Arabidopsis thaliana: one gene and its partner. The protein of the gene in region 2 interacts with the protein of the main gene of each other region in a biochemical or structural test. Each region holds a gene or a part of one and is shown on either strand. Other genes may lie near its edges. The genes, in order: PEN3 and CML37.

Evidence for each region.
Region 1: the proteins of CML37 (region 2) and PEN3 form a complex in vitro, tested with the Arabidopsis thaliana proteins (one study listed by BioGRID).

The regions. Positions count from the first base shown.
Region 1 is NC_003070.9:22,032,702-22,051,304, reverse strand, and holds PEN3 (ABC-2 and Plant PDR ABC-type transporter family protein), read right to left. Parts: upstream 16,883-18,603; 5' UTR 16,645-16,882; coding exon 15,807-16,644; intron 15,725-15,806; coding exon 15,594-15,724; intron 15,318-15,593; coding exon 14,055-15,317; intron 13,969-14,054; coding exon 13,812-13,968; intron 13,733-13,811; coding exon 13,628-13,732; intron 13,549-13,627; coding exon 13,403-13,548; intron 13,319-13,402; coding exon 12,477-13,318; intron 12,389-12,476; coding exon 11,461-12,388; 3' UTR 11,179-11,460; downstream 1-11,178. Other genes in the region: SNL5 (SIN3-like 5), read right to left, coding at 635-811, 903-1,017, 1,106-1,266, 1,345-1,497, 1,605-1,743, 1,821-1,909, 1,992-2,612, 2,829-3,337 and 10 more; AT1G59885 (uncharacterized protein), read right to left, coding at 8,490-8,588, 8,707-8,997; AT1G59865 (uncharacterized protein), read left to right, coding at 18,008-18,305. UniProt on the Arabidopsis thaliana protein: Together with ABCG37, regulates auxin homeostasis and responses by playing a dual role in coumarin (e.g. esculin) and in the auxin precursor indole 3-butyric acid (IBA) efflux transport, thus influencing cotyledons, roots and root hairs development.
Region 2 is NC_003076.8:16,936,751-16,951,384, forward strand, and holds CML37 (calmodulin like 37), read right to left. Parts: upstream 7,071-14,634; 5' UTR 6,566-7,070; coding exon 6,008-6,565; 3' UTR 5,697-6,007; downstream 1-5,696. Other genes in the region: AT5G42360 (Galactose oxidase/kelch repeat superfamily protein), read right to left, coding at 1-1,246; AT5G42370 (Calcineurin-like metallo-phosphoesterase superfamily protein), read right to left, coding at 2,579-2,661, 2,749-2,944, 3,164-3,469, 3,556-3,663, 3,775-3,915, 4,010-4,420, 4,597-4,713; SPP (Insulinase (Peptidase family M16) family protein), read left to right, coding at 8,558-8,757, 8,878-9,082, 9,169-9,413, 9,583-9,781, 10,100-10,147, 10,289-10,396, 10,507-10,695, 10,782-11,081 and 11 more. UniProt on the Arabidopsis thaliana protein: Potential calcium sensor that binds calcium in vitro.

The DNA of each region.
Region 1 (18,603 bases), on a different chromosome or scaffold from region 2:
AGGACAATTTCAGTGAAGCAGTAGATAGCGATCCTAATATAAGAGACTCTGAGAGGATAAGAAGGTTTTCCGTACACAGCCTCACGTGAGTCACGTGACACCTGTGATAAAAGAGTCAATATATATTCATATTCTCTTAAAATCATATTATATAATCAAACTCAAATGTGATTAAAGATAAATAACCAAATGGATAAACCAAAATAAATAAATAAAACATGTGATTAAAGAGATTATTAATTTGAAAGAGAATTTAACATTAGAAGGAAAATTCAATAATTGTTCAATGAATGAATTAAAAATATCCAATTTTAGCATCATCCTTAAAAAAAAAAAAGATATTCTAACACTATACAGCAAAACTGGCGGCTCCAGCTGCAGTGTAGACTGTAGAAGATAAAAACTATGGTTGTTGCCATGTGAATCTCTTTGAGCCTAAAATGATGCAAGAATCTTTGTCAAAGACAGTTATTCTCTAGTCTCTCTCTACTACTACTCATTCTTGCATATCTCATTCTCAGCAAAGAACTTCACACCTGCACAATTTATCGTGAGTTAGAGATTATTGATGATTTGCAGTATTGATCACCACAGGCAAATAAAAGACAAGAGGGTTACTTACGGCGTTCTTGAGTTAAGGCAAGGCGACAAGTCTGCGGTTAAGACTCATGTGAAAGCGCGATATTCGTTTCTTTCTCGAGAGTTCACTACTATCAGAGGTTTTAACATTTTCAGGTCCAGTTGGATTCAGTGTTGCTTTCTTCTGCTTTCTTCTATATAAAAGATCTGCTGTGTGTGGTTCATACTTGACCTAATGAAGATTGTAAACTCTCATCAATCATATATACATGTGAAAAGAGAAAAGATTATCAGTGCAAGAGATTCACAAGAAAGTATTTTACCTTGAAAGAACTGCAAGCTATCTTACATTCAACCTCATTGATAATGTTCAATCCTTCCAAGGCACGTGACATCCCTAGAGATTCTTCACCCGGACCACTTAATTTTGCCTTGTTCCTGAAAAGAGTATGCTAAGGTGATTACTAACTGTACTACCACAACTGAAGACGAAAAAAGGTTATGCTCTAATCATTGCTTCATTCACCTTTTCAGAAATAGTCCGGGTTTCTCTTCATCACTGACAAACGAAAGAAAGTCATTCTGCAGATAATTAGCAAAACCTGGTTCCACTGTTACAGCTGTAACTTCAGGCTGATCATTCCAGCTGTTCATAAGTTGAATTCCGAGACGGGTTTGGGCAGATGACTGCACAGAAATTTGCAAATACAGATTAGTATATGGGAACATATAAACAGGTATCCACACATATCAAGAGAAGCATACATATTCAATCCTGTATATGTTCTGATCATGGAGAAGGGCTCGAGCATTCTCATGGTACACTATATCAAAGAATCTTCCTGGTTTTCTGTAGTTCTCGTATGCATATAGCTGCAGAAGCTTGGTGTCTGTCTCATCAGCTGCGACTGCGTGAAGCTGAAGCATGTCCAAGCCACTTAAATGATTAGTGCGGAGCAAACAAAAATAAAGGAGAGAGAACAGAAGCAGAGTCAAGACGATAACAAGGTAAAATGGAAGCTTACATGCTTAACAAACTTTTGAACTAGCTTGTCCAATGTGAAGAGAACATATGATTGTGCTCCGATAATAGCTCGACATTCATCTTCAAACTTTGTATTGTCGCTAGAGCCATCAAGTAAATTGTAAAGGGCTTCCATGAACCTAAGCTTTCAAATATCAGTTAGGAAATAATATTTTTTCAATTAAAAAGTACCAATGATGCTTAGAAAATAAACCACCTGGTATAAGAATCAGTAGATGTGCTATCTGGAGCTTTCCATTTCCTCTCTGAATGTATCTTTGCTGATTGTATTCTCTCGTACAACATCTGGAAAATCAGCAGAATTAGCGGTTTGGACTGAGACAATTGACATTTGAGGAACATGAGAAGGTTGTTTCGTAGCACTTACTTGATGAAGCCTAAAAAGCACATAGAGTGAATCATTCCCATAGAAAACTCGAGAATCATTCCGGGTGTCGCATTCACTTGCTTGCAGTGTCCCAGGCACATGCTTTGCAAGGGGCTTTACAGGTTGCAGATACCGTTCTGAAAATGTGAAAAAGGATCCATCTTCACCCTCGTTGGAATTAACCATCCCTCCAGCCTCATTTTCACTCTCAGCTCCTTTATGCTCTTCATCGGAAGAAACTTGGCCACCAAACTTGCTTGCTGAGACAATAAATTTCGAGGCATTTTCATCCCCTTCTGATAACTTTTGAGTTATTTTATTATCATCATCTTCAGGGAGGGCATTGCTCCTTGTTACAGCTTCAGTACCACATGCACCCTCTTTGGGTTCTCGGTCTGTATTACTTATTTCATTATCTGGTAGTTTCTGCACAGGCTCGAGCCCATTCTCTTTATAAACCTCGAAATTTTCTTGCTCGCAACTTTCAGTGGGGGATAATTCACCCTCTTCTCGCTCGACCTTATGCCCTCCCATTGATACATCACTGACCCTACTACGATTCTCTACACCCTCCATTATCAAATCGTTTCTGGTTGACACCAGTTTGGAAGGCTGGCTATCCTGTAGAACCACAAAAACAAATATCAAGGAAATATCTTTTTTCACATACAGGAATATTATGAAAACTTAAGCAACTTTCATTTATTGCCCAACAGTAAAATACGCTCTACCACCACTAGTCCAGATTTATGAACCTTTGACTATATTTACTCAGTGAAAAGTGAATACGGCCTCAGGTCAAGAACAAAGGTACTCAGGAAGAAACAATACGGTTACCTCATTAGTTATAGCTGCAACATCATGCAGTTTATCTTGCTGAATGCTTTCTCCTGTGTTGACTGGCAAATCTTGCGCAAAAGAGCTTCCTTGTATCATTGGGTTTTCTTTGTTAGGCATTTTTGGAGGTGTTAACGGTTTAAGGTTTGAGGCCATAGAACCGTCACATGTATTTTCCTTCACTGCCTCACTTGCATCATGGTGCTCTTGGTTGTCTTCGATCTTTGCAACATCTTTCATTGTCTCAATAGTTTCAGACCTAGAAGGAACGCCAAACATGGGCTCCAAAAAGGTTACCCATAGCTTCATTACTTTATCCGACTGTTCAGTAGCACATATTTCCTCACAATAATACTTGATTAGCTTATATAGGTCAGTATGAACTTTTGTATCAGTATAAATGAACTCCACATCTGGGGTGAAAGAGGGCTTAGTTCCAACAGCAATGGCACGAAGCAGGTCTTCTTTATGCTTTCTCTCACTGATATCTTTAATCTCCGCCACTAAACCTGCATTTGGGACATAACAACCAACTTTAGTCGACACAAACTTGCACTTAAATGATACAAGATATTCTCTTTGTTTCATCATTTTTTTCTTCTAACAATCAGTGACGCTTTTATATTAAGAACTCTCCCTGTAGAGAAAGAAATTGCTAATATGAAATATCCACAAAATCTTCTATGGAGCTTCAACTGTAGCCAAACGAAATGAATGGGTTTTTAACCTAAATTAGGTTCAAAGTCAAAACAAAATGAACTTGTAGTCCTGAAAGAAAACTTACCTTTTGTGCTTAAATTCTTGGAGTCCTGCTGCTTGAAATAGAAACTACGATGATCGAGTGATTTGTGATGATTCTTAGCATATACTTCAGCCCATACTTTCCTGAAATCAGCGCGACACCTAGCCCATTCTTCTTGTTTCTGCTTCAAGCGTGTTAGAATCACAGGTAAGGCGATATGAGAATTCTTCTTCAGAAAATCCATGACATCAAGCCCATAATCCCCGTACAACCGCTCAATGCATCTTAGGTTCAGCTCTATCAATTAGTCACATATAAGGTCATTAGGCAAAGTAAAAGAATAATAAACATACATAGTAACATTTATCACAGCCAGATTTGATAAGATAACTACTTGCCTGATAAGTGTTCTCTAATACAAATTGGTGTCTCTATAGAGATTGTATTGTTGTTAATCTTTTCCAGAAGACTTTCCACACGCTTGATGGCTGCACTTACAGACTCTAGTAACATGTCCAACTCAAACCTGAAACCATATCAGTTAGTTGATAGATCAGATGGAAGTAGAACTTCTTTGGGAATTCAATTGTCAGCAGAGAAACCCCACAATATTATCCACAAAAGTTTCAGACAACTTAGTGAAATTAGAAGGGAAGACTGAACTGAATAGAAAACAATCATGAACTCCCAATGTTATTGAAAGACTCCAGTTTAAATACAGAAAGAAATACAGGAACCTAATATATACTATATACGTCTTACCTATCATCCTCACATCGAAACAAGCTTTCTTCATACTGATTTTTGCGCATGTGTTTGAATGAGTAATCCTCACTCCCCGATGTGACAGATACCCAATGATCGTTAAGCACCTTTTCACCAAGTGAATTTCTGTAGCTTGGAATCTGAATAGGATACTACACAAGAGAAAGCCAACCGTATGATTATAGAGCACAAAATCAACGCTATATTGAAGTATGGTAGATAATAACATTAAGGTTTAAGAAGGGCTCACATCATCTGGCAAGCGACGATAACTTGGTGTACATTGTGCACAGTCAGTAAGATCCAGTTCATTTATTGCCTTGGCCATATGGTTTGTAGACAGTAGATTTTTTTGACTTCCGATGTCTGGATCTCTTTCATGGCCCCCGTTACTTTCATAAATTTGAATCCCCTCGGTGTCCTCTACCTTAGGATATCCTGGCCATTGACCTTGATTAGCAAGGGATTCTGCAAACATTAACATAGTTGGACCTTAGCACCACGTAACTACTGACCAGTCGATAAGCAGAGACAAGATTGACAATAACCACAGTATAGAAGATGGCAATATGTCACGTAGATATATATACTAATTTCCCTTTCATATCAAAATCACTGAAAAATAGAAGACATCTATTTGTATTATCATGCTCTCACTAGGCGCTGAGCCAAGCAATAATAATTAAACAATGCAAATAAATAATGCTACAGGTGATTCAAATACTCACTTCCCAGAGAATTACCAGCAGAGTAGGCCACAAGGTTCTCATCACCATCCTCTCGTTGATCAGAGAGTTCAGTATACTCATCATGCCTACTCCGTTTTATTTTCTGTGGTAGGAAAGAGTCCATATCAACATCTCACCCAAACTCAGAATCATCAAGTTCCTTAAACATATATTCTTTCATCTATTCTGTAAACTATCTTAATTCCTATATATATCTTGCTTTTAATTTATCACTCTTAGAACAATTAGGGAAAGGATGTTATTACATTCCATACAAAGCATGCATGGTCACAATGCAGGCTTTCTACCACGAACATCAATTAGAAACATCATAAACTACGTTGTAAAGATATGTGAATCTTTTAGAAAGAATGAATTAAGGCAAACCTTCTCAAAATGCTTTGGATGCATGCCAGGAAATGTAGAATTTCTATCACGCGGTATTGTGTTCCTCTGGAAAAGAGGGTCATTAACAGAAACTGATCCTCGAAAATCTGGTAAGAAATGAACAAACTCCCCGAGCAGATCTTCATGGTCCTGGAACAACAGAGTAACCTGTAGAATTGATGATCATCAGAAAACAAATCACAAGAAAATCTGGCTATATATATGAAAAAAGAGTGAGGCAGAATCGTAGGCAAATCAACACTATACCCATTTACTGTAAATATACCTCTTGATAGACCTCGTTGATGGACTTGGTTTCCTTTCTATACATGTTCAAGATGTCTAGAAATTTTTTATATGCACGGTCATCACCTCCAAATCGCGCCTGGAGGAATAACTGTTTAGATCATGACTAAATTTGGTATCTGGATAAATACATCAGATACATACCTTAATCCTGTTGACAAATTCGATAGCTACTTGGAAATCCACTGGCTTCTTAGGTTTCTCATCCTCAGGCTGAAGGGTAATTTTGTACCCCTTAGGTAAGAAGGTATTAAAACCCAAAAGTAAGTCGTCATAGCCCTTGAACAAATCTTTTACTCTTGCTATGACGCCATTAGTGTCAACTCTACAACCAGCATGAGACGCAAAAAAATTTAGAACATTTCCAGCTGTAAGAAGACACACAGCAAACGGAGGAGAGAAGAAGACATTTACCTCTGAGCTTTGAAGTCCTTCATGACTCCAAGGAAAGTCTCATATTTCTCTTTGTTGTCTTGAAACATATCCTTCACAGCTTTAAGATATGTCAAAGCATCAACTGTTGTTAGCCCTCCCGTTGTTCCTCCGCCACTAATCGTTGAAGGCCTACCATTTCTGCATTACACGAACATATATTAAGTTGCTTTTCGCACCTACGTAGAAATATTAAATTCCTTTTCCCCTACGAAGCTACAATAATTTTGCTTAAGCCTAGGAGGATAACTAAACCACGAACAATTATAGACCTCAAAGAGAAAACTCAACTCAACCTAGAAAACAAACCAGAGCATGGAAATTTAAATCCCCACAGAAGAGAAAGACAATAAGAATATCTATCAGTCTGCAAATTTGATAACACAATTTCGATACATATATCCTCCATCAATCTTTACCATTTCTGCATTACTCCAACATATATTAATACGCATTTAGGTCATAAAATCAAATTCATTACACTTATACAGTAATTATGTTTTAGCCTATAAGGATAACTAACTTAAGAACAATCATAGACCTCAAAAATAAAAACTCAACCTAGAAAACAAACCAAAGCATGAAAATTTCAAATCCCCACAAGCAAAAACAAGCAATAAGAATCTCTATCAACCTACACACTTTTGACTTCCTTATAAAAAACACACAATTCAAAACGAATACGATTTGAATTGACAACAGAGAGAGACAGCTTACGTTTCTCCTCGAGAGGAAACAGTAGGTCCTCGCATTTGTGGTTCAACGTAAACCTCTTCTCTAACCCTCTTCATCTCTTAGATTCAAGCTTCACCAAACTCTAAGTACCCTGAAAACAAGCCAAGTTTAAAATCACAAATTCAAAAACTTCCCTCTCTCTTAAACAACAAACACAAACCAGATCTATCGCCAAAAAATCGAAACAAAAATCAAAAACTAGATTTTGATTATATATACAAACCTTATATAGACCGGATCACATTCATGAAAGCGAAAAAACCAAACTTGTTCATTTCTTCCAAAGAAGAAGATAAAACCAACATAATAGAAGCTATAGAGAAGAGTGGATCGCCGCCGTTAGTTTGCCGGAGAAAAATGATACGAATCTTCACAGAGAGACAAACAAAAAAAGATTGCTTCTGGTTTGGATCTCTCTCTATATTTATTATCTCAATCTCTCTCAGATACGAATAGTTTTGAGAAGAGAATTAGCCATAAGAAAACCAAAAAGGCCAAAGCTTTCCGAGCAACAGAGGGAAGAGAGCGAGAGAAGGAGGAGCCTAAGATTGTGTCTGTTCTGTATATTATACCAAGGAGATATATAATCAAGTGTTTGTGTTGTTAATAACAAAATCTTTGGCATGTATTCATGCATTTAAAGTAATTGAAACATGATAAGAGATTTTGGTAACAAAATGGATTTCCCCTAATTTCTTACAGTCAAAATTAGGGTATCATCCTATCACCTATACTTTCGGGATTAAAACATATGAGATTTCTTGCCATTTTATGTATTTTTATACTTTCTTTTGGTCAAGAAAAATTGAATTTTCCTATTTATAGTAGATTAGGTTTTTAATTAAAGATTTTTTATAATAATAAGTTTAAGCTTATGTTTTTTTAGTGATTATTAAATAAAATGGTTATTTCTTTTTTTTGGTACAAATATCTTAACGAATCAGAAAAACATTTGGTTTAATTCGGTATTTTGAATTATACAAATGTTAAGGCGAACAATTTGGCACGAAAAATTCGTACTAAACCGCTTAATATAACTTATGTAAATAATACTCCTCATACTTGGATCTTTTGAGCCCTAAATAAAATCTGAGAATTTATTTTAAAACGAAGAAAATAAAAGAAAAAATGAAGTTGAGAATTTATGAAATTATCAAAAAAAAATAAACTATAAAAATAATCTTAAAATTTACCATAGTTTTGATATTTTCTTATCAACATATCACGATTGTTTTTTTTTGACATATTTGTGTTCTTTATTACGTTTGAAAGAAAAAACAAATCTTATTTTAGTATGAAGTTTTAGTTTATATTGGAAATTCTTAAGAGTTTTTTATCGTAGATAAGGGGAACGTTGTGTTTTTGGTAAGGCAATGGAAGAATGACTCCTTTATGCTCTAGTGACTTCCATGTTCTTTCTTGAGGAGGAGGAAGACCATTCTTCTTGTTTTGCTCCACAAGATTGAAATAAGAAATGTTTTCTAAAAGTTCTTCACGCTCCATATAGACTATCTCTTTCTCCAAGATATATATATTACCAAACGGAGCACTTTTCATTTTGAAAAATCAACTTTTACTTTTCATCTTATCTTCATCCATACTAGACTCAAACTCAACTTCAATATCAAACAGTGCTTCTAAAGCCAACTCAACCCAATAACCATACTTCACGCTCTCTCTTCAGGTAAGGATGTGATGATTCTTTGAGACCAAATGGTCAATAAATATATCAAAGAAGTCTATTATTTCCCCTTCCTCGTTTGTTTTGAAACACATAACTGACTTTATTGGTGATAGTGGTAAGTAGAGCAAACGATTCGGCTTTGGTGGTGAGGAGAGCCAAGGAGAGGCTTTTGGTGGCGAGGAGAGCCGAGGAGAGGCTTTTGGTGGCAAGGAGAGGCAAGGAGAGGCTTTTGGTGGTGAAGAAGAAAAAGTCATTAGTAGTGAGGTGAAAGAAGGAGCCATTGATACCATTTGAATTTGATTTGATCTTGATGGTACCTTTGGTGGTGATGAAGGAGCCTTTGGTGGGGAAAAAGAAAACGCCTTTGATGATCTTGATAAACACAGCCATGAGAGTATATAAAAGATATTCAAAATTGGGAAATGTTTTCATGATAGAAAATAGAAATAACTTACTTCTAAATACTCTGAAACAAGTTCCTATTTTATCATAAAGCTACCCATACTCCATGACCTCATCAGAGACACAGAGAAGAGAAGATTTTATTTTACTCCATGACATGTACCATCAATCTCATGTGACGTCTAAGCAAGATATTAACGAGCTCCTAAATAGAGAGGTGTTCATCTCGTTTAAACTTTTTTTAAGTTTAGGGTTGGTTTCAAATTGGTGTATCAACGCCACCGCCAATATACGTCATATTCTTGACATGTGCAGAGAAGAAGGATGTGAGGAGCTTTAGTTCTCATTTATTTCGATTTTGTTAGTATTCTTATCTTTTTTTAGATTCATGTTCTATTTGATAAGTGTAATTTTGATGTTGGTTGATTTGTGATCACTATTGTTAGTGAACTCCTGCAAAAATAAGAAGACTGAATTAGAAAAAGCAAGAATACAATGACACTTTCTAATTACAGCATATATTCTAATGAAAATTTGGTTTTGTTTTGGAAAATAAAAACAATTTTTTCTAATATGAAGCTTTAGTTTATATTGACAATTCTTAAAAGTTGTACAAAATTGTTTCAACCTTTTCTACTACATAAATTTGTCTTATGTGGTTATTATTTTTACATGAATCTAAATATGTAGCTTCTTTTTTTACTATATTTTGCGTATAACAAATAAGATCCGTGCTAGTGGGATTTTTAACTACTAATAATAAGAATTCCAAGTGTATATTAAAATCCAATAATTAACATTATTCATATCAATGACGATTTAATATGTGGGTAAGCATTTCGACAAAATTATTATCATATACTTGTTATCCTATTGATGATGTACAAAGGGATTCAATTTATTTTTTGCAGTATATACAATCTCACGTCTTTCTCATATATGTATGTTAAATTAAAAATAAAATTTACTCGTATGTTTCTATATGAAGATTAAGTTATTTCGTTTACATAATGGATAATGAGTTGATCATCTATCTATATATTAAGATCATTTGATGATATTCTATAACAAAAATAAATACTAGTATTAATGAGATTTTAAAATAGTAAGACGTCAAAGTGAATGTTCAAGTCAAAATTTAATATTATTTTTAACGTATCAATGATGATTTAATATATTGGTAAATGTTCATACAATTTTTTTTATCATATAGATGTTATTCTATTGATGATGTATAAAGAGACTCAATTTATTTTTTGCATAATACTAAATCTCACATTGTTTTCTATATAGACCTAGTGTAAAAAGAACTTGGTCATGTATGATTTCATATAATAGTTAAGTTATTTGATCTACATAATGGATAATTAACGAGTTGAAGTGTTATCTAAATAAAGTTATTTTGATGATATAGAGTGAGAATTACAAACGTAGGTTCAAATCAGATGGTTAACATTGTTTTACATTTGATTCGATTTAATATTCTAATAAATATTTTTGATGATATTTTTATTATAAATTTGCATTAACTAGAATAATTTGGCCAAAATAAGAAATCATTGAAATTATATAATAATATATATATATTGTTATCCAACATATGTTCAACAACGGGCGTTTGGTCTAGTGGTATGATTCTCGCTTAGGGTGCGAGAGGTCCCGAGTTCAATTCTCGGAACGCCCCTAAAATATTTTTTTCTTCAAATTCCTAATGGGCCAGGTTTCATAAATAATTCATCGAGGCCCAGTAAGAAGAAAGGGTTATATCATATGCTATATAAGATGACAAGGGTCTAAATATTTTGAACGGATCAATTTAGGAATCCAAACCATATTATGCAATGATCAAGATATAGGGTGGTGTATTGGCCTAAACATTTGGGTATGATTAAATGGAAATTTGATTGGGAGGACTTTTGGTAGGATTTAAGGAAATTTTAGGTGATTTAATCCAAAATTCAAAATCGTTTTGTCGTTGTAAGATAGACTTTTCTATATTTAGAAAAACTGATTTATTGAGATTTCTCATTAAACTTTATGATATTGGTGTTGTGTTGTGATAATTTTTACAGAACCATGTTATACAATTATCAAGATTTAATCATGAAGAACATTAACTTATCCTCCATTGATTTTGTCTTCTTTGATAATGGATATGATCACACTTTTTTTCTGTCTTCTTCCTCTTATTGGAAGTATCGTAAAATAAAAAGTCTCAAGAAACAAACAAAAATGGACTTTGAGGGATTTGTGGATATAAACACAAAAAAAAGTGGAATTATATTACATGATTCCGATTCGTCATCATCTATAAGACAATAAATAAAAATATTCAAAAAAATTTCGTTATGACACTACAATACATATTTAGAACATACAAAGCTTATAGTGCATATAAACAACACAGAGGATACAAAAAAAGAAAGAGACTTTGTTGTTTGAGAGATGGTTTTATCTGGTCTGGAAGTTGAGAGTTCTGATGCAGAAGGCGAAGATGAAGGCGAAGAAGACGGTGAAAGCGATGAGTACAGCCGCCACTGGTCCCATAAAGTCAGATTGGAAACCATAATGGTCCTCAATGTATTGCTTGACGGTTAAGTCAGGAGCACCACCAAGGACTTGGATACGTGTCTCCACATCACCGTACTGCGACACTATCAATCCATACACGGTCCATGCAACAGGGCAGATCCAGTAGTACCAAATCCACCATTTTGGGATTTTGGGTCTTGGAATGAAGAAACCAGAGAAGAGGTTGAAAATACCGTAAAACGCTGAGGCGAAAATCGAAGCGACTTGTTGGTTTGGTGTGAGGGAAACAGTCATCATGCCGTAGTAAGTCCAGTAGAGGAATGAGAAGTAGCTAACGAAGACGAACCAGAAGAACTTTTCGGCTTTCCATTCGAAACCAACCATGGCGTAGACGATGAGTGAGTAGTAAACGGTTTGAATAAGGACATAGGGAAGCTCACAAGTGACTTGAGAGATGGCATATGGCATGGCTGAGTACATTCCTGCTGCTCTTTCTCTGTAGAACACTGTTCTTTCCACTGCAACCATCGGTTGTACTGTTGAACAGTTGTTGATTCCCACGAAGATAATCGCGGCATACAATGCTCCTATCACCATTGTTAGATCCCCTGCGTTCGACCTGTTACCTCCGATTTGCCAGAAGACTGTACCAATCAAGAGAGATGTTGCCAATGTGAAGATGAAACGGACAAGATTGTAGTCTGGAGATCTCCAATACGTCCACCATTGTTTCCATAAGCATGATTTGAACTGTCCCCATGTGTTTTGTGAGAATTGTGTAGCAAAGTAAAGATCTGATGCTCCTGCTGGTGGTACACTTAGTTCTTTTACCAACGCTTTGTTTCGCCTGCATTTTGTTATGTATTCATTAGTACTATTACTTAAACAATCAATCAGATGCAATGAGCCATGGAAAAGAAGGAACTTAAACTTACTGGTGCAATGCTGATTGATTGTATAACTCAGCAAAGTCAACACTAAGCTTTAGCTCAGCGGCGAGTGAGCTAGCTTCGAGCATCCAAGTGGCCGGGTTATACTTTTCTGGAATCTTGGACACTCCGGGGAAAGATTCAAAGTACTCAACCACCTTGTGAGAGTTTTGACCCAATGGACCCGCGTAAATCACTTGTCCTCCTCTCTTCATCAGCATCAATTCATCAAATGCTTCAAAGATATCAATGCTAGGCTGATGAATGGTGCAGACCACGGTTCTTCCAGTGTCCACTGTGTTCCTTACCGCCCTCATCACAATAGCCGCTGCTCTAGCGTCTAGCCCTGAAGTTGGCTCATCCATAAAGATGATGGAAGGGTTGGCTACAAGCTCCACCGCGATTGTCAGTCTCTTTCTCTGCTCCGTGGAAAGCCCCGTGACACCCGGTAAACCAACAATGGAGTCCCTAAGACTGTCCAGCTCTACCAATTCCATCACTTGATCCACAAACATCATTTTTTCATCTTTGCCGACTTCTTTAGGAAGACGAAGGAAAGCAGAGAAAATCAGAGATTCTCTGACTGTTACTTGCGGGGAGTGAATATCGGTCTGCTCACAATATCCTGAGATTCTAGCAAATGTTTCTTGAACCTTTGGGAATCCTGATATTCTCACATCTCCTTCAATGTATCCACCTGTTTTCCTTCCGGCCAAAACGTCCATAAGCGTAGTCTTACCGGCACCACTCACTCCCATAAGCGCAGTCAAAACTCCTGGCCTAAATGCACCAGTCACACCTTTAAGCAGTTGGAGTCTTGTTTCTGTAACTCCTTGGTCTCTCATTTCCTATACCATCAAAAGATATCTATTTAGTTTAAGTAATTCATATTTAATTTAGTGTAAAGATTTTAAGTGAAGATAGTTACTTACCCCAGGCATGTCAACAAAGTATTTGACGTCGTCAAAGGACATAGCTAAAGGAGTGAAAGGAAGAACCATTCCTTTCTTATTGCCTGCACCACCTGATGCTTCAGCCGCAGAGTCCCTACTCATTCTCCCCATTGCGACCTCTCCTCCTGATAGCAGGGAGCAGAATGAGACAAGAGTACAAGAAAAGCAAAACATCTAAGCAGATTAAGAAATGTGTTTACTTACTTCTGTTCCCATCTGCAGTAGACAAAGATCTACGCATTGGATCTTTCCCCTGATCAGCGTCTTCATTTTCTTCTTCTGGAAGTAAACCTGCCTTCTTCCCAAGAGCTGTAGTTTCAAAGGTACATTATTAGTAGTCTATTGTTTTTAGATTTGGTAAAACGGGTGATACAACACGAGAACTTACGGTTGAGATAGGTAAGTGCCAAGGTGAATAGAATGTTGAAGAGGGCTGTGAAACAAAGCAAGGCTCCAACTGAAATCCAGTACCAGTTCTTTTGATGGTAGACATCCCAAGTATTAAGCACCATAGTTCCAAGCTTTATTGTGCTGTTAGAAGAAGCCTGTAATTTGAAAAAAATATGACTCAGAGGCGGCTTTACTATGATATTTGTTTGTAAAATGCAGAATAAAGAAGTAAGCCACTTACCATTTTGTTCATCCATCTGGGAGCAAACATTTCATTGACTACTAGACCGTTGAAAGCATAGGTGAGAGGAGATACCCAGTAAGCCCAACCCCACCAGTCAGGAATCTTGCCTTTCGGAAGAAGGAAGCCTCCGAGCAAGAACACAAGAAGTAGAGTGAGAGCACCACCAGTATTAGCAATCATCATGGTTCTGCACACAGAAGCAATCAACCTAAAGAGGGATGCAGCCATTTGTTGAATCAGAAACACCAGAAGAAACTGCTTGAAGAAGCGGCTGGCGTCAGGTGCAAAACCAATGGAGTAATAAGTCACCACCATCCAAGCCGTCGATTCTAATATTGAGCTTGGAATCCCAAGCAAGAAAGTGGGAAGTGAGAAGGTCCAGGATGGATAAAACAAGAGATCCCTCTGTTTGTAGAACACAGGGAGTCTTGAAACCATCATAGCCATCTCCGCAAACCCATTAAACATGTTGATGATCATTCCAAATAGCAATGCTCCTATGTAGAGATTAGCATCACCCTCGTTTCTTGTGTTCATTTCGGTTCTCAGGAAGAGTGTAGACGTGATTGCAGCAATGATGACGATCTGGACAGTCTTGAAAACATAGAAGAACGCGTTTCGCTGCATAAGCAGCCACTCTTTGTCCCAACAGCTCTTGAGAAGCTCCCTCTTTGAGACAGAGTACTTATCGAACACAAGAGCTGCTTTGTGGCCGCGAGACTTATCGAACGGTACTGCAAGTTCGTTAGACATCTTCGTCCCAACATGGAAACTCTTGTATCTACTGGCAAACTCTGAAACCGGAATGTAGTGATAAGGTCTGTTCGGGTTCACCCAGTACTGTTCTTGATCTTTCTTGGAAGTAACCTCTTGCAGGAAATCAGCTGTTCCTTTTCTCTCAGGACACTTGAACCCAAAGCTCTCAAAGAACTCAAGAATGTTGTCTCTCGGTCCTTGGTACACGATCTGACCTTCCGACACCAAGATGATATCATCGAATAAATCAAAAGTCTCAGGAGCAGGCTGGAGGAGAGACATGAGCACCGTGGCTTCATTGAGGTGAACGATTTGTTGCAGACACTTGACGATTTGGAAAGTAGTGGAACTGTCAAGACCAGTGGATATTTCGTCCATGAAGAGTGTCTTAGTAGGTCCAACAATCATCTCACCAGTTGTGACACGTTTCTTCTGACCTCCAGATATACCTCTCATCATGTCATCTCCAACTATTGTGTCTTTGCAAATGTCAAGCCCCAAAATCTGTTACACGGCCAAAGTTAGTATTATACAAAAAAAGACTCAAAACTTTATGAACATGAGAAAAGATTGTCTAGAACATTTTTAGAATATGAAAACTTATATCAATATTCTAAAATAATGAAACCAAACGGTTAATGAATAAATTCCGGTTCAGTTTCGGTTTATAAAAAACGATTTAGTTCGATTCGATTTTATGAGTTGCTTGCCTAGTAACAAACACTCTTCTTGAAACAAAAAGAACAAGATGAGCTAAGTTAAGGCGAGAGTTGGACTCACTTTGAGAGTATAATCAGTGACGAGACTGTTCTTAACACCTTGAGCAGCAGAAGCTTTCATGAAGAGATCAACATCGGCTTCCGGGAATATACCAGCGTCCTTTTCTCTCCTCGCAAGCTCATTCAACAGATCTACAACAACAAGAATCAAAACCATTCAACAAAACTGAATCTTGAAAAAAAGATATGATTAAAGATTGAATCTTTTACTTACCATAACGAGTACCAACACCTTGACACCTAGCAGAGAAGTCAAGAGTCTCCTTAACAGTCATGATACCAACATGAAGATCGTTCTGACTAATGTAAGCAGAGGTCTTTCTCGGAACAAACTCATCGAGTTGGTAACCATTGTAAGTAATATCACCACTGACTTGTAGAGATTTATCAAGTTTCCCAGCTAAAGCCAACAAAAGAGTGGTCTTACCAGAAGAAGGAGGACCCAACAAAAGTGTCATCCTTCCAGGTTTAATAACCCCAGAGATATCTTTAAGAATCGTAAGCTGAGCTTTCTTAGCAAATTGAATACCAATCATACCTAAAGCAGACTCTCCCATGTTCCTCACAACATTCAAAAGTGTAGGAAGAGATCTATTACCAGTGTAACAATCAGCTTTAATCGTCAAATGCTCGTACCTGACTTCAACAGTTGGAAGTTTGATACCAACTCTATCGATCCTGTTTCTTAGCTTAGTCAAGATCCTTTCATTATCTTGCTCAGCTACTTTGAAAACCATGTCAATAAACTTCTGACGATCTTCACCATCAAGCTTGGTTACATCAACCTCCTTGCTCATGAGCTGGTTACCGTAAACATCGTCTTCGACTACAGCGTTCATGAGAGTGGTTCGGAGACGACTGTAAGTTGGTAGCTTCTCAATGGCAGCCCATTTAAGAGCTTCTTCATCGTCGTTGACTGATTGTGTTCTTCTTGAACCAGATGAGAAGATATCTTCAATGTTCCTACTTGCTCTGCTTACACTTCGACTTATGCTTCTTCTCATACTAACACCACCTCCTCCTAAAGGAGGAAGATTTGGATTGTAATCCATCGTTCACCAAGAAAGCTTGTGACTTTGGCTCAAAGTTTATGTCTTTTGAACAAAGTTTGTGTTTTTGGATCAAAGTTTGAGACTTTGGATCTAATCCCGTGAGGATTTAGTTGGGTGATACAGAGAAGAGAGAGAGGAGGAAGATGATGAATGAAGAGAAGAGGGTGGGATTAGAAAATGGATAAATAGGGAGTGAGGAAGGAACATCAAGGCGGACTTTTCTTTATGTTGACTATTCATACTTTGTTGAAATAATCAAAAATAATAAAAAGTCGTGTTTTTTATGTGCAAGATGGGTTTTATTATTCAAATGTGACGGCTCTTTTACGTTGTTTTTTTATTTACAAAAGATATTTTTTGTGCTAATAATGCGACGGCTCTTTAACGTTTGTTATTTTATTGCAAAGATATTATGTAATAATTGAAGTGTTTGAACATTTCTTATTCAAAGTCAATAACGATGACCCCATTTAGTTATAGCTACTACTAGTGGAGATATCGTTAAATGAAAAGTCTTTCTTGTGTACTTTGTTTCTTTTCTACATTTTATTGGTGAGAAAAGAAAGGAAGACCGTCGTTGGGTTTTGAAGTCATTGTGTTGATGAAGTCACATTCACATTTCAATTCAACACATACGTGAAGGATGGTTTGTTTATAAGTCTTTGTGTTCTGGAAAGTGAGAAGTTGCGGAGGAAGAAGCCATTTAAATACCCGGAATAAGAAGTTTTAGTGACAACTCCTCAATGTTGTTATGATAAGAAGACTCCATTGACTTCCTCTTAAACTCTGCGTTTGGCTATTTTCTCAACTAATCTTTGATTAGTGCTCTGCATTTTGTGTATTAACCAATGTCTAATTCATTCCTTCAGCCAGCAAATTTCATTTTCCTGAGCTCTTCTCAGCTTCTTTAGTAATGCTCTATAGGTTGGTTTCTTTGTCAATTAAGCTCTCGGTCTTCTTCAGTCTGCAGTTTATACTCCAAGTTTTCATTTACCTTTGAGGACGACTCATCGATTTTTTCAAGAGAACAAACCTACATTGCTCTGAGTTTTCTAAAGCAATGTTCTTTGGCTTGACTTCGTTGACCAACAAGCTTCCTTTAAATTTCATGCTTCCAGTTTCTGCTTCTCTAACTCTTTCCTACAGATCCTCATTCTTCTCCTCAAGTTCCTTCAGTTTATTCTCATTTACCTTGCCAAGTTCCCGACTTTTCCGCGCAAATGAAGTTCTCGCTGTCTCTACACAGTCTTAGAATGGACAAACTCATTTTGGGTGTTTACTTATCTCAGTCTTCAAGAATTTTTCCTTACTTTTCACTTGTATATTTTGCAGCCAACTTATAACTTTTAATTTGGGCTCCACAATGTTCAAGCTATGGTTGACATATCAACAAGACCTTCTCCAATCCTTGCCTTGCTTTAAAAACGCTTCACTTGTATCCACCAAGCTTTCATATACCTTTGACAAGTTATCGAGTTTTTCAAGAGAAAAAACCTTCATTGCTCTGAGCTTTCTGTTTTCTAAAGCAACCTTCTTTGCCTCGACTTTCATGCTTCCAGTCTCCGCTTCTCCAACTCTTTCCTACAAATCCTCACTCTTCTCCTCAAGTTCCTTAAGTGTATTTTTCATACATGCTTCTTCTTCTTCTCATTTTCCTGAAGGTCAGACAAATTCACTTTGCCAAGTTCCCAATTTTCCACACAACTGAAGTTCTCGCTGTTCCCACATAGTCTTAGAATTGAAAAACTCATTTTGAGTGTGTACTTATCTCAGTCTTCAAGAATTTTTCCACAGTTTTCATTTGTATCTTTTGCAGCCAACTTATACCTTTTCATTTGGGCTCCACAATGTTCAAGCTATGGTTGACATATCAACAAGATCTTCTCCAATGCTTCCCTTGCTTTAAAAATACTTAACTTGCAAATCCAAAGTTAAGCTTTCCATAGCTTTGTTGCTTTT
Region 2 (14,634 bases):
CTGATAGCTTATCATTCTCAGAATAAGCATAGAAGATTCCATTGCATATAATCCCACAACTTACAACCCCAAAACCCATCGGGAGTCTCTGCATTTCTGACCATGTGTTTGTTGCTGAGTCGTATATTTCACCTGAATCCAGTGGCTCATCGAATATGCCAGTGCCTCCTATGGCAATGAGCACAAATCTCTTGGAGCTGTTTCGGTTAAGCCGATCAAGCTTTTGTCTTATTAATCTGTGGGATTTGGTTCCATTTTGATCAGCCGAGTTTCTGTTCTGTCGTCTTACCGATAGCCTGTGAGGGTCTTCATAAACGTCTGACTCTCCGCCAACTCTTGACAGGTGAAAGCGTCTATCTTGGCGATTCTGTTTGGTCTGCATGGTCGAAAACTCTGAAGTAACTTCAGTGGCACCAACAATGGGAAGTGATCTAGCATGTCTCATAGACGCGATTTTACGCCATGCTTTGATCGAAGGGCTGAATACCAAGATCCCTCTGTGGGACTTGAAAGAGTTTCTGTCCATAGAACGACCTCCAACTATATAAATCTCCTCATGGATGCTTGTCACGGAGTACATAAACCGGCCTTTAAGTAGATCAGTTTCAATCCTATGCCATTTGTCCTGAGAAACATCATACCCGTGAATATCACCAGAGGAGCATCCATCTTTAAGAGCAGCAAACAGAAACAACCACGGTGTTTGAAAGGAGCCTTCTCGTCTCATCTGGAGAAACCGCTGAGTGTTGGCCATGGATTGCCATTTCTTGCAAACAAGGTGTGCATTCAATAAGCTGGTCAAAGGAAGCCTCATCAAACACATTTCCAGAATATCATCGGGAAGATAAACGTGCTTGCGGTAATCCTGGCCCGAGTCCGCAAGGTATCTTCTATTATTCTTCTTCCAGAACCTCTCTCTAACCCCATAAGAAAAACAATCTAACCTAATTTCTTCAGTTCCACAAATGGTCATCAATCCCTTACCATCCTCACTAGCACTAGACCATCTCTTATTACTTAAATCCTCCTCAAAATCCTCACCCGTATCAGCAACTCTGCAACCAACACTGATGCTTAAACAATTCACCGCTCCCCTTGCAACCTCTTCATCTTCCACCACCTCAGTTTTATGAATTTTTTTCTTCAACTTCTGGCTAACACTTTTCACAAGCCTCCTCGAAACGGTTAAAACCTCCAGATCCTGCCGTATAGATTCTTCTCCCAACGGTTTCTCAGAAATCATCATCCGTCATCTAACAAACTTCACAAGTCAGACACCTTGATCATGCTAAGAAGACCATCATTTTCCACAGATAATCAACCTGCAAATGCAAATCAATCAAAGCTTCTTCAAGTTGTATACAATCTCATGAGGCTTGCGATGATCAAAAAGCATTATAGTGAGATCCGCTTATTCTACCAACCACTCGATTAAAGATTAAACATGTAAAAAGCCTAACTCCAAAATTCCAACGAAGTAACTCAAAGAAGCCTACAAAATTAAGTTTCACAATCAAACTACAAGACGCGTCTGCAATTTCACACAATGGACGAAATTCAACAAATTCGAAGAACAATTTCACTCACATTGAGCATATCACCCAGAAGTTTCGAAAAGAGATTCATCCATCGACAGAGTTGCTTTCCCAAATCCAGAGCATCTTCCCCAGAAATCACCGAAGAAGATGAAATAATTGAGACCTCGGAGACCTAAGATTGACGCATCGATTTCCCACTTTTCCCTTTTTTATTTTATTTTAAATAGATCATACTGCAGAAAGCGGAAGCTAAAAAAATAAATAAAAAACAAAAAAAAAATAAATGGAAATTAAGCTGACTCAATTATGGGTCAATTGCAAGAATATCGCTTTTTCAATAAAATAGTAAAAAATTAACCTCATATTACTAATTAACATCAGATTTGGGAAGTATAGTGGATCCTATCGGTAACATACAGCTGTTCAAATCTTAACTGTTAACGGTGATAAAAACTTTTTCGGAATACTGCAAAGTTGTAAAAAAATAGTTGTACGAGAAAGCTATATAGTAATAAAGCTGAGAGTAAAACTTTTTGTAACGCTTTAAAAAAGCTTTTGTAATTAACAGAAATAAAAGCGGTACAAATTGTAATACTTTGTTTTTGTTCACCAATCAAAGCCAATATACTTTGTTTTTGTTCACCAATCAAAGCTAGTATCCGTTTTGAGATCATTACTGAAATTATAAAAACTTTAATTTGTTTAATTTATTACAAATAGACAGTGAAAACCTTCATATGTAATAAACGATAAACCTTGGTTTACAATAATAAAAGAAAAAAGAAACTGGAAACTATAATGCTATTGCATGTAGTCTAGAATTTAACTTGTGTTCACAAACATTCTCTTTCAAAGAAGTTTAATTAATAACAGCTCAAGCTTAGAATTCCCATCACAAGATCAAAATCCATGTGTTCAACAATTTTTAACATTATAAGCTACATCCGAATTGTAATCCCTGAATAATCCAACTAATACAGATTATAAGTCATAAAGACACTTTTGTTGGACCAAAAAAAGTTGATTAATGTCATCAACAATCAATCGACCTTGCATTTATAAACGCATGCTGTTATGGCCAATACAGCTCCAATGATAAGTCCTAATATCGCCATTGCCAAGACTGTCGAACCCAATCAAACAACGTATATATCAGTACTCCGCAACATTCTTTCATCATGACCAACCACAGTGAGGAAGAATGACATACCAGCAATGGTGAAGTAGATGAGAACTGCCAATCGGTATCTGGTCGTTCCTGGTAATTCAATTTCGAGTGTGCAATATCGTTGAGACTTTCCCTTAGTTGTTGTATCTTTTAAAGAATTCGAGCCTCCTGGTTGGAGTTCAGATAATGAAACATTCGTGCCTAGTACAGTGTCTCCGTTAACATCTCTGATCTCGAGCTTTATGGTAACCGGATTTGCATTCCAATCTATCGATATTGCTCCAAAATTTTGTTGTCCTGCACGTAAGTTTAAGATATTGTAACCAATGTAATCATACAAAAGAGTACATCGCTGCTCTGTTAAATCAACTCACAACAGTTACAGTCTACTATATTCCGTCCTAGGTTAGTGACAGTAGAGCTATAGAGCTAAAGTTGGAACTTAAAGTAGACTCACTGTGTCTTGGCTTGTCAATAAATCTTTCCACAGTTTATCAGAAGAAAACGTAAAAGGAATCAAATTGAGAATAATACCGTATGTGCAAGATTTGAATTTGCAGTTATCATTGATAACTCTCATCGTGCTTGGAGTATACCAAAAAAGAAGCCTAACTATGGAACGCAAGGGACGAGGGACAACTTTCTCAACAGATTGTACTAGACCACTGGAGGTGACATCATATAATGGGTACCCAACAGAACAATCATATCTCGTGATTTCTCCAAAATGTACATCTCCACTGATGAATATAACTCCATCTCTCTGTAATGTCAAAGCAACGAAGAATTATGGGGACGAGGAAAGAAGAAAACTGACAGTTGGAAACATTACTGTCAACAATCCCATACCTTAGTATCTGCTATCAGTTTAAAAAGACGTTTCCTTTCCTTTGGAAAACGACCCCATGATTCCATATAAAAGAGAGGTCCAGTGGTAGCAGAAAGATTTGATATCACCTGGACAAGTTAAGAGACAACAGTTCTAGATGGAATAAGACACTCAGGCTTCATCAAGTTTAAGTCCATGGCCAAACTGGAACAGGACACAAAAGTCTAATTTGCAGATACCTGAACAGAGGATCCTATGATAGTGATTTCGCTTCGGGGACCGCTCAATTCATTTTCGAGCCAGTCCCACTGCGTATCACCCAATATGCTCCCGTCACTTCTTAAAGGGTCTCTATGATATCTAGTATCTAAAACTATAACCTGAAGGAGATACACAACTGTGTTAAATCACATATAAGCTCTTCATTCTAAACTTAACAAAACTACCAAAGAAGACAAGAGTTTCTGTTAATACCTTAACTTTCCGATTAGGCGGACCATAAGTATAAGAAGCATAAACACCAGCTTGCTTTCTCCTAGGACTATCAAGAGGCTCATTCAAGAAATCAAGCATAAGTTTTTGGTTAATGACTTTACGATCAAACTCTTTTCCAGCGTCATTCAATCCGTAATCATGATCATCCCATGTACCAATAACCTTAGCTTTTCTCTGAATACGAGAATATCCAGGATTAGCTTTGGCTTTAGCGTATCTTAGTTTCATTTCTTCCTCTGAAGAAGGTACAAACCTCGGTGAATTCCTCCATGGCCCAAAAGTTCTCTCTTTCCCAATGACTGTAAGTGGTCTTCTTATATCTCCGTAGATGTTATCACCCAACCAAATAAACAGTTGCGGATCAAACTTGTTTATCGCATCCCATATCGGCTAAAATGTAACAAAAATACAATGTTTAACATAGTATGCAACACAAGCTTATATCATCTAAGAGAACATCGGCTAATTAAACAAAAACCATAATCAGCTCACTTAAACACCAGCCAAACAGAGCAGTCTTAAAACACTGAATCCAGAGCCAAGTAGGGGTTGTACGATTGATTTACCTGTGGAGCACTTTGATTAGCGCATGATCCGAAGGCTATACGAGTGATAGGAGTCTCTTCTGCAGCAATCACCACCGTAAGGAGTAAAGAAAGGCACCAGAAAGAGATTTGGTTCATGACGATGTGGTGAATCGAAGAGAAAACCCTAGAAGCAACCGTGGAAAGAGGAATCTTCAAGTTTTCATTAAAAGATCCACAAGTTTTGGCTCGCCGCAGATTCGGTTCCGGCGATTTTCAGTTACCGTTGGGATTTTGATAGACAGAGACTGTAACTTTTTCTACTTTCTTCTCGTGGCTTTGATTTTTAATAGCTTTACTTTTTCTTTTCTTCAGATGAAATTTCTATTGCCTGGTTTTATGAATCTTTTTTCTGGGTTCCAAACAAAAAGTGAATTTGTGAAATATCCGTATTATTTATAATTATGGAATGACCATTGAATTTTTTTGTAGATTTGTTTAACATATGCAATGATTTTTTAAATATGAATATTAATTACTTGAGAAACAAATATCTACTACATATTAAAAATGAATTTGTATTTTCCCCTTTGAATAGAAATCAAATTCACTATATGTGGCAAATAGATTAATTCATTTTGATTTGTATTACATAATTTAAATTGTTTATCTACTACTATGTGATGATAAATCCATTTAATATGTGTTCTTCTATGAAAACTTTATCCGACCAAAAAAATAATTTTATGAAAATTTTATTCCAATTTTCTAGATTGTATAAAATTTCCCCGGAACCATGCAAATTCAGAATTTTTTACACTAGAGACTTCTACGGATGGCAAAATTGTGAAGTGTAATATTGTTTTAGACATTAAGAAACAAGTTTCGAAGCGGATCGTTTTAGTTAAAAGGTTTACAAACAATATTATCTCTTATTGAATAGAAAAAGTGAATTGGTGCAATAATTATGTATCTGTTTGTAACTGTAATTATAGAAACATCCAATAATGTGAATCAATATCATTGTTCTAGCATAATAAAACTGTAGATTTACAAACGTCAAACGATATGAAATGTTTTACCGACCTCTACCAAAAAATGAGTGATGTGAGAATATACGCGCGTTATCGGTTGTTTCTCACTCACCTAGTGACATTGGTCGAGCGGCAAATGGTGGTGATGACTGGCCTCTTTTACGACTCGCAGTTTTAGATTTTAGTCCCCTTAATTGGGTATTCTCAGTTATGGGGAGACATATAAACACATTTTGTATGTTTTGACAAATTCAGAATATCAAAACAAGACACGTTTATTATGAAGTGTGTTAAATAATACAAATAGATTAGATGAGACACAAATATACAAAGGAATAAGAATCTCTCACAAAAATAATAATTGAATGAATAAAATTTTGAGGAGGGAAGGAAGATGTCCCAATCCCATATATATCATCTCAACGCATCATCAAAACAAACTCGTCAAAGCTGAGAACTCCATCGTCATTCTGATCAAACCCACGAATCATAACCTTACAAGCATCAACCGTACACGACTCGCCGAGTCGACTCAACGTCCTCCGTAAACTCGCCGCCGTAATAAACTCTTCCCCCTCCATAACATACATCCCAAACGCTTCTTTCAACTCCTTCCTCCTTTCTTCATCACTACCATCTTCCCCTTCCATAAGCTTCAAAAACTCCTCAAAATCTATAAACCCGTCTCCGTCAACGTCTGATGTCTTCACCACTTCCTCCACCTCACGTGACGATAACGCGCCGCCTAAGAGACTAACGCAGCTTTGTAGCTCTTCACCGGAGATTTTCCCGTCTGAGTTTGCATCCATATAGTCAAAAACGGTTCTTAGCTCGTTAACGTTTAACGAGCTGCTTCCGCTACTATTACTGCTCGTTCTTGATTCGTCTTCAAGGTTTCTTGACGATTCTGATCTCTTCGAGGAAACTTTCTTGTATAGTCGTGACAATGATGATTTTTGGTTCTTAGCGAGAGTCATTTCTTGATTTGAATATGAATCTAGAAGATTTGGGAAATGGATTTCTGATGCAAATTCTTTTCAAGAAGTGGTAGATTATATATAGATGAGTATGTGAATGCGTGTAATGGTGGAGAGATTCTTGATTGTTCGACGGTTAAAACACGGGTTTGAATATTTTGGTGTTATTATTTAAAGCTAGAGGCGGTTGCGCGGCGGTGGCCGGGAAGTTTCCTCCGCAATGAGTGTTTGTGGGGAAAGGTCAAGTTGACCACGACTAGGGGTGTTTTCGTAATAATGTGATGGTAAGTTTTTCTCACGTATTGTGTGAAATGTGATGTCATATCGACGACTAGATTAAGAAAAGTAGCAAACCTTCTCTTTGACTTTGATTGAGTATACGATGTGCGGACACGTGGTTTTGGTCTTTTAAATTGTTAAACTGTCATGAAGTTTCATATAACCGTCCAGATATGCTCCACGAAAGTGGTATGACTTCCTCTGTTCCTAGAAACTTGAATTAAAAATAAAATATTTCATGTGATGAAGTTTCATCTAACTGTTACATTCCCGGTCCTGAATTCCCTTTCCATAAGAAAATATATTTCTATATGGACCAAAAGAGAGTTTTATTTTTATCTTTTTGCATCTCAAATGCCAACTTCATGTAAAAGCTTTTACTGATGTATAGTTCGGCTTTCTAAGCTCGACGGTTTAACTCGGCCCAGCATATATTGTTCAAACAATTCAGTTATTCTTTGAAACTTCTCCCCGTAATTATCGAGCTCAAAGATTATTTAACAAAAACATCTCTGTTTCCCCCCATAAAATCTCCTTATAAATACTTAATTTGATCCTAATATCAACAAAATGTTAGACTTTAATCTATATCTTCAATTCTTGATGAAATGAATTTCCATGATGCGGTGCTGGCATATCGTGACCTTACTTAATTCACATTAATTAAACTTTCTGAGCAAATAGTTTAAATTGTTGGTATCAAATCTCACAAATAAACTTACTATGAAAAACTCATGATCGCCAAAGTGAAAATAGTATAGAAAGCCTAGTTTAGAGTGACAAACACTTGAAATCCTAAACAATCGATCTTGTAACCACTATTGCACATCACCACAAAACACACATTATCTGACGAAAGCTAATCACATTCAAATGATTAAACCAAAATAACAGAATCTAAACATTAATTAACTTAATATTCGAGATACAACGAGACCTATACGAGTTTGAATGAAAGACAATTTTCTTGTCTACTATATGTACAAGAAAAAATAGAGATCATACAAATAGCTTTTCTTCTAACTATCGAAATCAATATTCTTATAATTAGGCATGAATCCTTTAAAAATTTAGGGGTCATGTAACACTTAACATAAGCAAATATATGAATGCATAAAATTATTAACTTTTCGATCATTTTTTTAAAAAATTATAATTTTCGCAACGTATTTAAACCAAATTTCACAAAATTACATCAATTTTTTTTTTAGATTGCTATCTAAGCCCTTAACCGAAATACCTAAACCTAATTGAACCGATCAGTTCAAAGTTGCCAGCAGATAAACAATGTTTTCATGTCCGACTCATACTCCATAGTCGAACGATTAACCCAAGAAACATATTTCCAGTGAAGGTTTAGTCTTAAATCTACCAATATAACCAGAAAAATCCAGAAAAAACTTGCCATTAACTACCGCATGATCAACCGGTTAAAACTTCTGGGTGAAAATCTTTCCAAAATATTGAGATTTTGACTTCAAACCCTTTGCTACAAATAGAAGGTTTGATTTTGGAATTAAAATATATAGTTTGTATTAAAAAAGAAAGAAACATTAATATACTCATATAAAAAGAGTTTAACAAAATAAAAATCAGGAAGGAGAAGACAATAAACGTAGCTAACCTCATCTCCCTCTTCTTTTTTTTTTGTTCTTTAATAGTTTCCGTCTCTCTTTTTCTCCTCCACCTCTCCTTTGTCCTCAATAGCCGACGATGGCTTCATCGTCCTCTTCCATTTTCACCGGTGTTAAGTTCTCTCCGATCTTAGCTCCCTTTAACTCCGGAGATAGCCGCCGCTCTCGATATCTAAAAGATAGCCGGAATAAAGTTAGGTTTAATCCATCGTCGCCGCGTCTCACTCCTCATCGTGTTCGCGTCGAAGCTCCGTCTTTAATTCCCTATAATGGTCTTTGGTACGTATCAGTTTTCAGCTTCGTGTTCATGGAAACTGAAATTAGTTCTTGGTTCAAAATTTTGTTGAGTTCAGTTAAATCGATTTGTTAAATTTTGTGTTGAATTTTGTGGTGTTAAAGGGCGGCGCAGCCAAATTCGCATAAGGGACGTTTAAAGAGGAACATTGTTTCGGGAAAAGAAGCTACCGGGATATCACTTTCTCAAGGACGTAATTTCTGTCTTACTTGTAAAAGGAATCAAGCTGGAATCAGAAGAGCATTACCTAGTGCCTTTGTGGATAGAACTGCATTTAGTTTGTCGAGGTCGAGTTTGACATCTTCTCTGGTAAGTAAGCTACATCATTTACTTTCTATGTTCTTGTCTTGTGCTTGTTTGGATTTATCTCTGTTTAACTGACTCAACATGTGCAGAGGAAACATTCTCAGATTGTGAATGCAACTCTTGGACCAGATGAGCCACATGCTGCTGGTACAGCTTGGCCTGATGGTATTGTTGCGGAGAGACAAGATCTCGACTTATTGCCTCCTGAGATTGATAGTGCAGAGCTAGAAGCGTTTCTTGGTTGTGAACTTCCTTCTCATCCAAAGTTGCACCGGGGTCAATTGAAAAATGGGCTTCGATATCTTATTTTGCCAAACAAAGTTCCACCGAACAGGTAAATTGAGTAGAATGCTCGAAGTTGGTCTACTTGTGATACTCTTAATGACAATATATCATTCCTTGAAAACCAGTAAGCAAAATGGTTATAGCTTAACCATATGGTGGAATCCTTTAAGGTCTTCCTGCTATATCTTATTTGAGTTTGGAAATGTTTTCAATGCTAGATTTGAGGCACACATGGAAGTTCATGTAGGATCGATTGATGAGGAAGAAGATGAGCAAGGGATTGCTCATATGATAGAACATGTTGCTTTCCTTGGGAGCAAGAAACGTGAGAAACTTCTTGGTACAGGTGCCCGCTCTAATGCCTACACCGATTTCCACCATACAGTATTTCATATTCATTCTCCAACCCACACGAAGGTTTGTTCTCTTCTACACCTATTGGCGTATTTAGTGATGTATCTTTTTCTTGGTTAGTTCAATTCACAGGTTTTTATTGCCTCGTATTTACTTTAACAAATATGGTGCTTATAGTCTATATCTATATGTTGCACATGGAGTATTATGTGTCTTATGAGCAAAAATACTAGGTTTAGTGTTGATCTTTATTTGTTTATAGACCTTAAAGTCTGTTGATTGGTTGGCTTATTGTGATAATTTCGATAACATGTCCTTACTGGCTTGCTAAATGATAGAGTTGGCTAGCTTCATATTAATTATAGTTCTCAACCTTTTCAGGACTCTGAGGATGACCTCTTCCCATCTGTGCTCGATGCCTTAAATGAGGTATAATTTTGCAATTAAGACGATGTCTTCCAATTAGATATGCCCCGAGGTTTTTTCTGTACCATGAGTCAAAATCCCTCTTATGTTTCATGGATTATGATTCATTTGGCAGACAAATTCTTATTTCTCAAATGATTACAGATAGCCTTTCACCCAAAATTTCTCTCTTCTCGAGTTGAGAAAGAAAGGCGGGCCATACTTTCAGAACTTCAGATGATGAATACAATTGAGTATCGTGTTGACTGCCAGGTAATCAATCATGAGGAATAGTTTTCTGTATGTCAGCACAACAGCCTTTTGTGTTGCCCAATTTTTGGTGGATAGCCAATGACACATTGTACTTTATTTGGTGAGACTAGTTGTTGCAACATCTACATTCTGAGAACAAGCTGGGTAGGAGGTTCCCTATTGGATTGGAAGAGCAGATTAAGAAGTGGGATGTTGACAAAATTAGAAAATTTCATGAGCGATGGTACTTCCCAGCCAATGCCACTCTATATATTGTGGGAGATATTGACAACATACCTCGGATAGTCCACAATATTGAAGTAAGATAGTCTCTTACCTTTCTCTGACATTTCTTTTGAATTTCTACTGCGTAGTCTATCTTGACCAGACAATCATTCTTCCACAGGCTGTGTTTGGAAAAAATGGTTTGGATAATGAATCAACACCCAGTTCTCCTAGTCCTGGTGCCTTCGGTGCCATGGCTAATTTTCTCGTTCCAAAGCTGCCAGCTGGTCTTGGTGGTACCTTTTCAAATGAGAAAACAAATACTGCTGATCAGTCTAAGATGATTAAAAGAGAAAGACATGCAATTCGTCCCCCGGTTGAGCATAATTGGTCGCTTCCTGGAACAAGTGTTGATCTAAAGCCTCCACAGATATTTAAGCACGAGCTTCTTCAGAATTTTGCAATCAACATGTTTTGCAAGGTTCTTGTTACAATCTTTTAATTCTTCCCTTTTTCAGAAAGCTTCATATGATACATGCAACATAGGGTGGTAGTTTATATTATGAAATGTTTACAATTTCCTTTGTCTTCCTGCAGATACCTGTTAGCAAGGTTCAGACATTTGGAGACCTGCGAAATGTTCTGATGAAAAGAATATTTCTCTCTGCTCTACATTTTCGAATTAATACGAGATACAAGGTATGAGGGTGTTAGGATGTCGTCTTTCCGAATACATTTGTTCTCAATTTTACTCAAGAAGAGAAAATTTGTTCTCATTTTCTTGCACAGTACATTTTGCTTTTATAGATTAATGAATCTCAAATCTCAGTGAAATTACAAAAACGGCTCTTTGATGGGTTTGTTCAAATAATATAACTGTGTTTTCAATAATCTCGAGGTGCACTATCTGAGTAAAAACTCTTTTTCAGTTCATGGACGTAGCTATATTATATTGAAGGTTTTAGGAATTATGTCTATTATAACTAGACTCAATACTGTCAGTGAATTTTGATGATGTTATTTTTGTACCTTTCAGAGTTCAAACCCACCATTTACGTCTGTTGAACTGGACCATAGTGATTCGGGAAGGGAAGGATGCACTGTTACGACTCTTACTGTCACCGCAGAGCCCCAAAATTGGCAAAATGCAGTCAAAGTTGCTGTCCAAGAGGTTTGCTTATTGTTTCTTCTCATTTATCTTCATTGTAAATACTATTTTTCTCTCTTTCGTTGGATTGATCATTTGGACGTGATGAATAATGGATTGGTTAAGCTAAAAGACTGTTAGAGCCATTGACACTTTTTCTTTACTGCTGAGAATTTATTCAGCTTTAACGTATAATTCTACGTGCAGGTTCGAAGACTTAAAGAATTTGGTGTCACCAGGGGTGAACTTACACGTTACATGGATGCTCTTCTAAAAGATAGTGAACATCTTGCAGCTATGATAGATAATGTGTCTTCTGTTGATAACCTGGATTTTATCATGGAAAGTGATGCACTAAGCCACACGGTTATGGATCAGACGCAAGGACATGAGACCTTGGTTGCTGTAGCTGGAACTGTTACTCTTGAAGAGGTAGGTTTCACAGTTCCGCAGTTCCGCTTTTCTTGTTGAATGTGACGCGAAAGATAACTGTTGATTTCAAAATTCTCGGTGATTAACAAAACGCACATCAAGTCATCAATAACAACCGGATTCTTAACACTTCCTGCATATCATACTATTTCAATATTTATATTTGAGTTGGTTGCTTTTCTTCTGTTTTGATAATTCCTTGTCCAGGTAAACACTGTTGGCGCCAAGGTGCTAGAATTTATTTCTGATTTCGGAAGACCCACTGCCCCTCTTCCCGCAGCAATAGTTGCTTGTGTTCCCACTAAGGTGCATGTTGATGGGGTTGGTGAGAGTGATTTCAATATATCTCCTGATGAAATAATAGAGTCTGTCAAATCAGGATTATTAGCACCCATTGAAGCTGAGCCTGAGGTGTTCTTTCTTTTGTAACTCTATCTTCGCTTTATTCAAGTATAAACCAAAGGCTAGTTCTGAATCAGCTTTTTGCCTTCATCCTTGCAGCTCGAGGTGCCAAAAGAATTGATCTCTCAATCACAATTGAAAGAGTTAACCTTGCAGAGAAATCCATGTTTTGTCCCTATTCCTGGGTCAGGTTTAACCAAATTGCATGACAAAGAGACTGGGATCACTCAGCTTCGGTTATCCAATGGGATAGCTGTAAATTACAAGGTACGTCTTTCATCTTTTTGCTCTTCCTTACTATGTAAGGATCTCCGTAGTGATTTTCTTTCTACATTATTAGACATATTCCTCAATATTTATATTGTTGTTTGCTGTCTACTTATCAAATTGCAGTTCTTAACAACTTAAGAAAATATGCTTCGTTCTAGCAGAAAACATTTTATTTGGTGTTGATTGATACTTCAGTTTTTACTGTACCATCTTGTATGGAGAAATAAAGACCCTTCCCTTGACATTTCCCTTTTCAATATAGAAATCTACGACCGAATCCCGGGCAGGTGTCATGCGGCTCATTGTTGGTGGTGGACGAGCTGCTGAAACATCTGATTCCAAAGGAGCTGTGGTTGTTGGTGTTCGTACACTCAGCGAGGGTGGTCGAGTTGGAGACTTTTCAAGGGAGCAGGCAAGTGAAGCTGTTGAAAACTGTATTGTGATTTTTAATCTAAAACTAAAAAAGGATATGAACTAATCTGAAAGCCATTTAAATTCCGTTTAGGTGGAGCTGTTCTGTGTAAATCATTTGATAAACTGTTCGTTGGAGTCAACTGAGGAGTTCATTGCCATGGAATTCCGGTTTACTCTGAGAGACAATGGAATGCAAGCGGCTTTTCAGCTGCTTCACATGGTGCTTGAGGTATTAGATTATAACAAATAAGATATAGAATGCTGTGCAACATTTCAGACTCTTGATCTATTGATTTGCTGGTCAATAATGTTTTCTTTTACCTGCTTGTTCGTTTTCCTTTATTTATTTTTTTATTTTTTTCTCTAATCTTTTGCTGAGAAAGAGTGGTGGTTCTCTGGTATGCAGCGTAGTGTCTGGTTGGAAGATGCATTTGATCGAGCAAGGCAGCTATATCTTTCGTATTTTCGATCAATTCCTAAAAGCTTGGAGCGTGCGACTGCTCATAAACTTATGATCGCTATGCTGAACGGTGATGAGCGTTTTGTTGAGCCGACACCTAAGTCACTACAGAGCTTGAATCTAGAATCTGTGAAAGATGCGGTCATGAGTCATTTTGTTGGGGACAATATGGAGGTGAGATCTCCAACTTAAAAGCTGATGTTTGCTTGACTTATATTAATTTTATTTGATTTTCATAAAAGTTTCTCTGGTTTCCTTCAGGTAAGCATTGTGGGGGACTTTTCAGAGGAGGAAATCGAGCGTTGCATCCTTGATTACCTTGGTACAGTTAAAGCTAGCCATGATTCTGCAAAACCACCAGGATCTGAGCCTATCTTGTTTCGCCAACCTACAGCTGGCTTGCAATTTCAACAGGTTCGGAACAAAGCAGTAAATGCATGGAATTTCTTGTTCCTCTCTTTGGTTTCCCCATCCCCTTAGATATGTGATTCAAGCAGGATATATTGACATCTTTATCTCTGGATAGGTATTCTTGAAGGATACTGATGAGAGAGCATGTGCATACATTGCGGGACCAGCGCCAAATCGATGGGGCTTTACAGTTGACGGGGATGACCTTTTTCAGTCTGTTAGCAAACTTCCTGTTGCTCATGGTAAGTTACACCTTAACGGAACAGACTTAAAATTAGGAGTCATATGATGTCGTGGTTTTCAACCTCGTGGAAACTGTGTATAGGTCTGGTTCTGAGCTTGTCTCATAAACCAGATATTTATCTTCAGTAGTAGTAATGAAGTTTAGTGTTAGCTCTGACATAAAGTAGCTTATAACATTTCATGCATGCACACTGAAATTGCAGATGGACTTTTGAAATCGGAGGAACAATTGCTAGAGGGAGGAGACAGGGAGTT